2 linked regions of the Drosophila melanogaster genome follow. The protein of the gene in region 1 purifies or fractionates together with the protein of each later gene. This does not show direct contact. Each region holds a gene or a part of one and is shown in the gene's direction. Other genes may lie near its edges.

Region 1 (4,929 bases):
GTCAGGCTTTAGGATGTTTACAAGAACGGCTGCGCTGCCAAAGATAAACGAATGCTGCGCAGCTGGGATACGTTATGGAAAATTACTAGAGTGCATTACTGATTTCTTTGAAATAATGGAAGTGGCTGGTTTGGACCACCCAAATACGTCACTATATATATATATATAATTTTTATAATTATAATATATAATATTATAATTTTTAATAAATGAACTGCAAGCTAAGGGCTTTATTTCCTGCGACTGAACTTAAGTGGTTATTATAAGTTTATTAAGTGGTTATATATCTTTGGGAAAAATATTTCAGATATTTTTAAATTTGTGACTTCGTGTTTGGAAGTAGCCTGGTTGTCTAGTGTCGCGCCACTAACCAAATAACCTATTTACCTTTTTACTGAAATTCCCACATCTTATTGCACTTCGCTTGAATCTACACCAAATTTCCATTATCTTGATTTTTTGAATTTTCTACGTTAGCTTTGAACCGAAAATGGTGGTTACTCGCAGTGCAGCTACGAAGAAGCAGAACCAAGTGCTGACCTTATCTGACCAGAACATCCTAGCAGAATCTTCGAGGACCAAAGGACCTCCTGTGCCCAAGAAGAATGTTAAGAAATTGCCGACTGCACGTCAGTGTGTCAAGGTGGCTGCAAATCTTCTAGACGCACAAGAACCTAACGAAAATGAAGTAAGAAATATCCAAAGATATATAAATATTTGTTCAAACATTACAAAATATAAAATATTTAGAACACAGGAACCCAAAGGAAGGATGGAAAGCAACTGGATTCCAAATTGAGTTCCACAGTCCAAAATACAGAAGCAGCGAGGTCCAAAGAAACTCCTGCACCCAAGAAGAATGTTAAGAAACTGCAGGCTGCACTTCCGTGCGCCGACGCGGCTGCAAATCTTTTGGAGGAACAAGCATCTAATGAAATGAATGAAGAAGGACCTCCTGTGCCCAAGAAAAATGTGAAGAAACTTCCGGCTGCACGTCAGTGTGTCAAGGTGGCTGCAAATCTTCTAGACGCACAAGAATCTATCGAAAATGAAGTAAGAAATATCCAAAGATATAAAAATATTTGTTCAAACATTACAAAATATAAAATATTTAGAAAACAGGAACAAAAAGGAAGGATGGGAAGCAACTGCAGGCACAAAATTCGAATGAAAATGAAGTAAGAAATATCAAAAGATATGCATATATTAAAATATTATAAAATATATAATATATTTAGAAAACAAGCACATTAAAGAAGGATAAAAAACTACTGGCTTCCAAAACTCCAGAAGCAGCGACAAACGATAATGTAAAATGAAGATACAGATACTAATAATATTAGTATTTATAAAATTCCAATTTTAGGCAAATCCAAATATGAAACCAAGCCTAAAGAAGTCGACAAGGGAGCACAAGTCCAAAAAGTGTAATGACATTCAAAAAGCTGGAAAAGATCACATCGAACATCAAGCCGAATAATTTGTATCACGTTGCGTTAATTGTTTTTGTTTTTAAAGTTCAAAATTGATTTTAGTTGCTTTTATAAGCAAAAATATAAATATAAATAATTAAGAATACCTAATAACAAAGAATGCCGAACAGTGAGGTTACCTTTTAAAAAGCCGTTACACGCAGGGTTCGTTTCCCGGCTAAATGGTTACCCGAGCTCCCAACCTGCCACTGGTTGCGGTGCCGTGTATTGTCAACGTTTTCCAAAAACGGAGGTACGGTCACTCCAGTCTCGGGCGCTCTCATTTTTCGTTCGAATTCTGACCGGGCGGGTTTATTTTATCATTGCTCCGCGACTTCGAATACGAGACCGGTGTTGTGCGCTCCTGATAACTGCGATATATTGAGCGCGAGCGCCATGTCCTTTTGCTGGAAGTAGAATTTGAAAAGTGCAGAGATCACGGCTTGGATTGCCAAGGAACAACGGTGTTGAGACTGAATATATTTTTTGTGCGCTGTTTCGAAATAGAACCGTTAATTGGAATTGGCAGTAAGAAGCAGAGAGGCGGACGATATTCCGGTGAAATCTTCGCCAGGCGGAAACATCGATCAAAACAAAGTGCATGCTAAAAACATAAAAGATTCAACATGTTCGAACTAGAGGATTATTCGAGCGGCATACATGAGGGATTCTTCAGCAAATATGCGGTGAGTTGAAACAAAAAAGGCGAGCTAAGCGAGAATAATAACTTTTCGCGAACATTTCGCCGGCCGGCCACACGCACCCATACACTCGCATGTGCCGAGACACAGACAGGCGCAATTTTTGAATTTAACGTTCGGTCTCCACGTTCCCCACACCCCAACTGTTCCCATACCGACATGAAGAGCAAAACCCACCACCAAGAACAGTTTGGCGGCGAAACTTTGGTTCCACTCGCCATCTCGCTCGCCCCTGCGGCCAAATATTCCCCGCCTCGCTCGCTCCAAAGCTGTGTTGTTGACTCGCCAATTCGCCCTCGCCGCGTTTAACGTTTGTGTGTGTGTGTGTCTGTGTTTACATTTGATCGTTAAACTTTGAAAAATTTCTTTTTCGCCCAAAAAATTGATGATTAATTACAACCGGAACAGCGGAGCGCCGATAAAAAATAATGGAAGTATAGTACCATTGCGTTTGAGGAAGTCTGCTGTTTATTTTGGGGGTTACTAACTCGGCTAGCCGCAGAATTCACCTCTGTTAAGCGACTGTTATTTGCACTTAATTGTGGACATCAATTCACTTTTCACGGGAGGGGATTGCCTGTATTATTCTACTTGTATTATTAAGACACTTGGAGTATTTTACTTTGGCGCACACAGCACAAGTCTTTCTTTTGTTGTAGCCATTCGCAATTATTTGGCTTATTTATTTTCTGTCACACACAGCGGCGGATGAAACAATAGCACACCTTATAATATATTATTTCTTGCAATTTATAAGGTTTAAGAATTTCTTATCTTCATTTTCAAAGAGTAACTCTATAATATAACACAGTATGAGAGGAGAAGGTACCAAAGATTTTTTTTTAACTAAAAGGATTATTTCTTCGGCATAAATTTACTTGTATAATGTTAGAGAGTTTCTCTGGTCGAGTATTCACTGTAGAGTTACGTTATCACATTCTACAGTTTAGCACAGGTTAATAAATTTGCAGTCCTATTTCCTTGGCCGCCAATATGCGCTGAGTACTTTAGTGTGTTTCTCCGCCGGTTCGCTGAGTTTTTCGTCTGGTGGCCTCTTCTTCGGCTTTTGCGTTTTAAACTTTTTGAAGGCCAAGCGTTCACCTCGAATCTCTCGGTTTTCATCTGTTTTAGTCACAGTCCAACCAAGTGGCTAATGATTTTGGGCCAGAAAGTGGGGGTATGGCTTTGAAGTTTGGGCTAAACTGACCGCCTAAATTGTCAGTCCGTCAGAGGAACTGACCTCCAGCAAAGTTTGCACATTTTCAATAGAAAATCAAACGAACGGACTTGGGAAAACACGTGCGCCTGTTACTTGCAACATGCAAAACTCCACACACGCACGCACGCACAATCTACAAGTGTTGCGAATTCCCAGTAAGCGTGTGCGTGTGCGAAGGGGAACAAAGAAAAGCAAACAAAATAAATCGTTTCATCTTGTACGCTTGTGTAAGTGCGAGAACAAAAGAAAACCAAAAAGCAACAGTCGACAATAATTCCCACATCAAAAGCTTTTCTCCCACCTTCTCCATCTCTTTCGCACTGTTCTCTTTCGTCTCCGAGGTTTCGGCAACCTTTGTTGCAGCAACATGGCAGCAAAGAAAGAAATTAGTGAAACAAAAATCAAAGCAAAAAGCCAACAAAGAACAACTTCAAAGTTCAACGCGCTTTCCACTGGGGCCTTTCAAATGGGGCGATTTCAGTGGGTGGCGGCACACCTACCCCAAAATGCGCAGTAGGTGGGAAAGAGATGGGCGCACAAGGATTGTGGGAGGACTGCCACTTGTCTGCATTTCGCTCTGCTGCCGAATATGAGCGCCCAGCTGTATGCCGCATAGATTTTCTCACGGCCCCAGCGCACACACACCCATACACATATTGGTACAAACACTAGTCTGGGGGCAGTTGCTATTACCCATATAAAACTTCAGAGCGCCTAAATCGTGTAATACCAAAAAGATACTTGAAACTATGCAAAGTAAGATATAGACTAATTTAAATACAACTTATTATGTGTCCACATGTCATTTGCATTTTGAAGAAATGCATTGGCTTCTCTCCCTTTCTTCTTTCTATAAGAAAATGTAAATCTCCATGAAGCCAACTGTTTGTTTGTATGGCAATTAAGTTAATGAACAAAGAAGTTATGGAGCTTGTGTAATTCGTAAAAATCGTAAGATGCCTCACCAAACCAACTAATTGCCCCAAAAAACCCTCACAGTCTCAGCAAATGGACTTCCAGGCTAAAAATAAACATTTGGCAAATCTGATTTCTTGAAACACATGCAGTTAATGAATGAAATAACCCGGAGAATCTGCCGATTTACTTCCCGCTAAACCGAGAGATTTGAAAACGATTTACGACCCTGGATCATCCTGTGTGTTTAAGGATGTTACTTTGCGTTGGGAATCGGTCGGCAATTCAGGCAAGCGACTTTTATTGCACCATAAAGTAATTTACAAATGGGCGCTCATGACCTCAGGGAAGATTCGTCCAGAAAGGTCCACGGAAATCGTTGGTTTTACCTGAGTGAGGGATTCCATTGCATTCCATTCCTTACCATCCTCCTCCCATCATTATTTACCATCTCTTCTTGTGTTTTCTCTGTGTGTCAGCAGAGTGATTTCCTTCGGAGGTGAAAGGCGGAGAAAGATGGAAAATATGTGCAACAAAAGAAACGAAGCAGATGCAGGAAATGCAGGAGAACACTTACAACCATCGCCAGTGACGAATCCTGCCGAGAAAGGACGAAAATACC
Region 2 (3,795 bases), 1.9 Mb from region 1:
ACTATAGCATTCTCTCTTATTTTTATTTATACCACTTTTTTTAAATCTTTTTTGTGTCGCTTCTTTTGACCCGTTTCCTTTGGCCACTTTCCCTTCGGCTGCCGCACACAAGTTTTTCATTTGTAATTCAAGATGTCAGTCAGCTGGGAGAACCAAAACTTAATTAAAGTTCCGCACTTCTACAGAGCCAATTCCTTACTTATCCCGACTGTCTCTCTCGCTTTTCCGTATGTATTTAGCCATTCCCAGAAAGTCCGCCCATTTCGTTTAAATTCAAAGTGTCTGTCCAGCTCGCCAGGTAAGGTGGTTTATCTTTCAGGTGCAAGTTTCGCCTGCCGCACCTGCAGCAAATGTCCGGACCTGCGACTTTGTTAGCCTCGCCTGCGGATACGGGTCTCCCTCCCCCTTTTCCAGCTCCTTTGCTGCAAATGCGTTTTCCCGAGCATGTGTGAGCGTAATTTTATGAGCTTATTTCATACTTTTCACTTCTAATTTGGCTCCGCGCTAGTTGCCATGTGCAGATTTCGACTTGTTGAGTTCTCCTTGTCGTGGTGCTTTCATTTTCATTGCATGATATCGGTTTCACTTACGGCTCACCATATAGAACATCTAATTTAATTAGCTGACACCAACGGGTGTTCCGACTTATTCTCTTGCTCGCTCTCCATTTTCCAACATCTGTTGTGGGGGGAAAAGTGGGAGAGCCGAAGGAAAAGCTGCAGGAAAAGTAGAATGTCTCATTATGTATGCATTGAGTTTCCAGTGTCCGTTGGCAGCGACAGAAAAACTTTTTGATAACTGTAATTAGCATATGAAGAAAATCAGACTCGGATAGTTTTCTTTGGAACTCAGGCAGGTGGAAAGCTGTTAAATGTATTCCAGTCCAATTAGGAATCCGCCTGCTGAACTGGCGTAGTAATTAAAGCAGTAAAGTTAAATCAGCATGGTAAGTTTTTCGTTTTAAAGTTATCCAATGTAATTTGATAAACACAAATGCTATTTAATTTAATAAAATGATTTATCAATGATAAAAGTAACCAAATTTGTAATGTAATGCTTACATTTTGGTCTATTGAAAGATAATTATAAATATATGATTATTATATAATCAAAACCAGATATATGATATATGTATATACCGGCCATAGGAACAGTCGGATAAGTTATTCATATGCATAGTTTATTCGGTAAGCTTTATTAAATATGTTCAATATACTTATATTACAACTTTAAACAAGTCTATGCAAATAATAAAAATCAGATATTATACATAAGAAAGTGCGATGGAGATTAAATGGCATATCTGTGCTGATTAACTTTTTTTTAGGTTGCCCATAGTCTCCAATTAAATTACTTCCCTAGACCCATAATCAATTCTACCGTTCCTTGGTTTATCTCCCTCATTCAATCTTCCTGTTCTTCCCTTTCTGCATACATTAGCGCTTTCAATCGCCTTCTGGGCCATTTCTTTCCGATTGAAATCCGCCAAAATCTCTCTTGGCCTAGGCTATCACCACCATCAATTCGCGTTGCATCTATAAATAGCATCTTGTTGCACTGTCCGTATCCGTGGGATTCGCGAGTGAGCCGTGGGATTACCGACGTATTGCCTTCCATTGGCCGCAGACCAGAAATGCGAGAGGTGGCCAATGTCAATGCCATGGCCATGGGCGCATATGGCCAAATGCAAATGCGAAACCGAAACAGAAACAGAATCGAAATCGCAATCGGAAGCAAAGAGCCAAAAAGCGATGGAGGAGAAGCACTACAAAATAATCCAACGGTCGCCGCAAGAGAAACACTTCCCATTTCTTCCGGCCGCAAAGAGAGGTGCCCGGGCGGTGATTAAATCAGTTAAGAGCCATTGGCCATTGCAGCCAGGTCTCCTCTACCCGGAGCCAAATCCCCCTGGTCATCGCAATCAACCCATTCCCCTCTCCCATTGCCGCCCAAATTCATTGGCGCCTTTCCCTTCCGCCTTTGGCTGTTGCGCATTTTGTGTTTTGCTCTCAACGTTCATTTTGGCCTTCTTTTTCTGGCCAAATGATTTAATTTCATGTATTTCGCTGTGCGGCAATGGCGATGCTTATTAGTTGCAATTTGCCAGCTCTGGCATAAGTTTACTCTAGCCAAAGCCAACAGCAAGCACCGCAAACTAAACCAAATAAATAAAATAATTGCCTTCCCAAGAAGTTGATAGAATGGGCAAAAATAAGGGTGGTGGCGGCGGCGGTGGAGGAGGAGGTGGCGGTGGTGGAGGCGGGGGCAATGTAAGCAATATTTGTGTTATGCAACTTGCGTTCTAATTGTGAGTCTAACTACTTGTAATCCTCATCTTAGTGCCAGCTCATTCAGCTCATGGTCCCACCAAACTTCCAAGTAGCAATTTAACAATATTTAACTTTATCCCTACTTTCCAACAATTTTAAAATAATTCGTTGACCAACTTTCTAAACATAAATTTATAAAAGCATTGCCAAATTAAAAAAAAAAACTTTAGTGCACTAGAACTATTAACTTTGAGATTAAGCCTTGCATACAGTTTTTTAGGAAGGTGTTTCGTGCTACCTGTATTAATACGTTATTGTAGACCACAAATAATGGTTAGATTACATTTTATCATGCGGATAATAGCTGCTGCTGTATGTAATTAGAGAACTCCTGGTGCTTTGGAACAAGGGTCCCCCCATTGCAATCCTGGCACAACTAACCTTTTTCTCATTTACTGACTTCGCTGGGCAACCTTAAACAACCGTGGCTCGTTATTTGCTCGGTCCCAGCTCAAAGCGAAATCTTTCCGTGTTTCTTTGCCCACAGAAAAAGGGCGGCGGTGGTGGCGGAGGCGGCGGCGGAGGTGGCTCCGGAAATAAAAACAAAGGCGGCGATGGAGGCGGCGGTGACAAAGGTGGAGCCAAGAAAGGACAAGACCAAAAGGCAGCCGCAGGCGGTGGCAAGAAGGGAGGCAAGAAATAGCAACCGTGGCAACATCAAAGCGCATTAAAAATTACAAATTTAGAGTTAAGTTGAAATTAAAAGTGATATCAGGGTGTATATACGAGTATCTCTATAATGTATGTGACTTTCTTACAATTTACTGGGCGCTGCCCGCCTCTTCTACTACAAGTACGTTCGGATATATTTATGTAGGTTAAGCTTAACAATAGAAGAGCATCCCATCCGCATTCCGCTCGAATGCACTTCACAGGCCACTTGATTTGAATCCTCTAGCGAAACCACTCCTGGGACATCCCAAAGAAGGAAGCTGCGCTCGATTTGGATTTGCTGCTGTCTCCCTTGCGGGCTCCATTGCCACCCGACTTCCTCGTCGGCGTCGTTGTCGCCGTCTGAGATAGAGGGATAAAATGGGAGATGTTATTAATTAATTAGTACTATTAATTGGTAGTTTGTCTGATTAATCTGTTAATTTGCCGCTGGACTCTCAGATTTATAGCGAGCAGCGAACAGCAACAAATGGAAAGCAAACATAATTAGAGAACGATTTATACCGGCGGAGATCGCAGCTAATTACAAAACATGCGAGTAACGGCCAAGTAGCCACTGCCATAAATTAACATTTGCCCAGCGATTTGATTTCAATAATTGCAGCGATTCATTAATTACCATCTAAGGCACTCGTATACGCGCCCGTAATATATACATAATCATTCTGCCGATGTTCTGGCCATCCACTTGGAAATTTCGGGTTGGGTTTCAAGCGAAACTTTTGCCAACCACTTGCGGACGAAGTAGGGAGGAGTGGTTGGGAAATGGCGGCAGAAAGTTGCACCTAATTAA

Evidence for each region.
Region 2: the proteins of jumu (region 1) and CG14742 purify together in Drosophila melanogaster (affinity purification with mass spectrometry, with the first as the bait; one large-scale study listed by BioGRID). This does not show direct contact.

Annotation. Positions count from the first base shown.
Region 1 is NT_033777.3:10,348,430-10,353,358, forward strand, and holds the start of jumu (jumeau), read left to right. Parts: upstream 1-1,752; 5' UTR 1,753-2,098; coding exon 2,099-2,158; intron 2,159-4,929. Other genes in the region: CG31406 (uncharacterized protein), read left to right, coding at 491-688, 751-1,053, 1,116-1,178, 1,239-1,310, 1,367-1,480.
Region 2 is NT_033777.3:12,212,610-12,216,404, forward strand, and holds CG14742 (uncharacterized protein), read left to right. Parts: upstream 1-1,891; 5' UTR 1,892-2,201; coding exon 2,202-2,270; exon of another isoform or gene 2,271-2,817; coding exon 2,818-2,973; 3' UTR 2,974-3,050; downstream 3,051-3,795. Other genes in the region: Cog1 (component of oligomeric golgi complex 1), read right to left, coding at 3,225-3,344.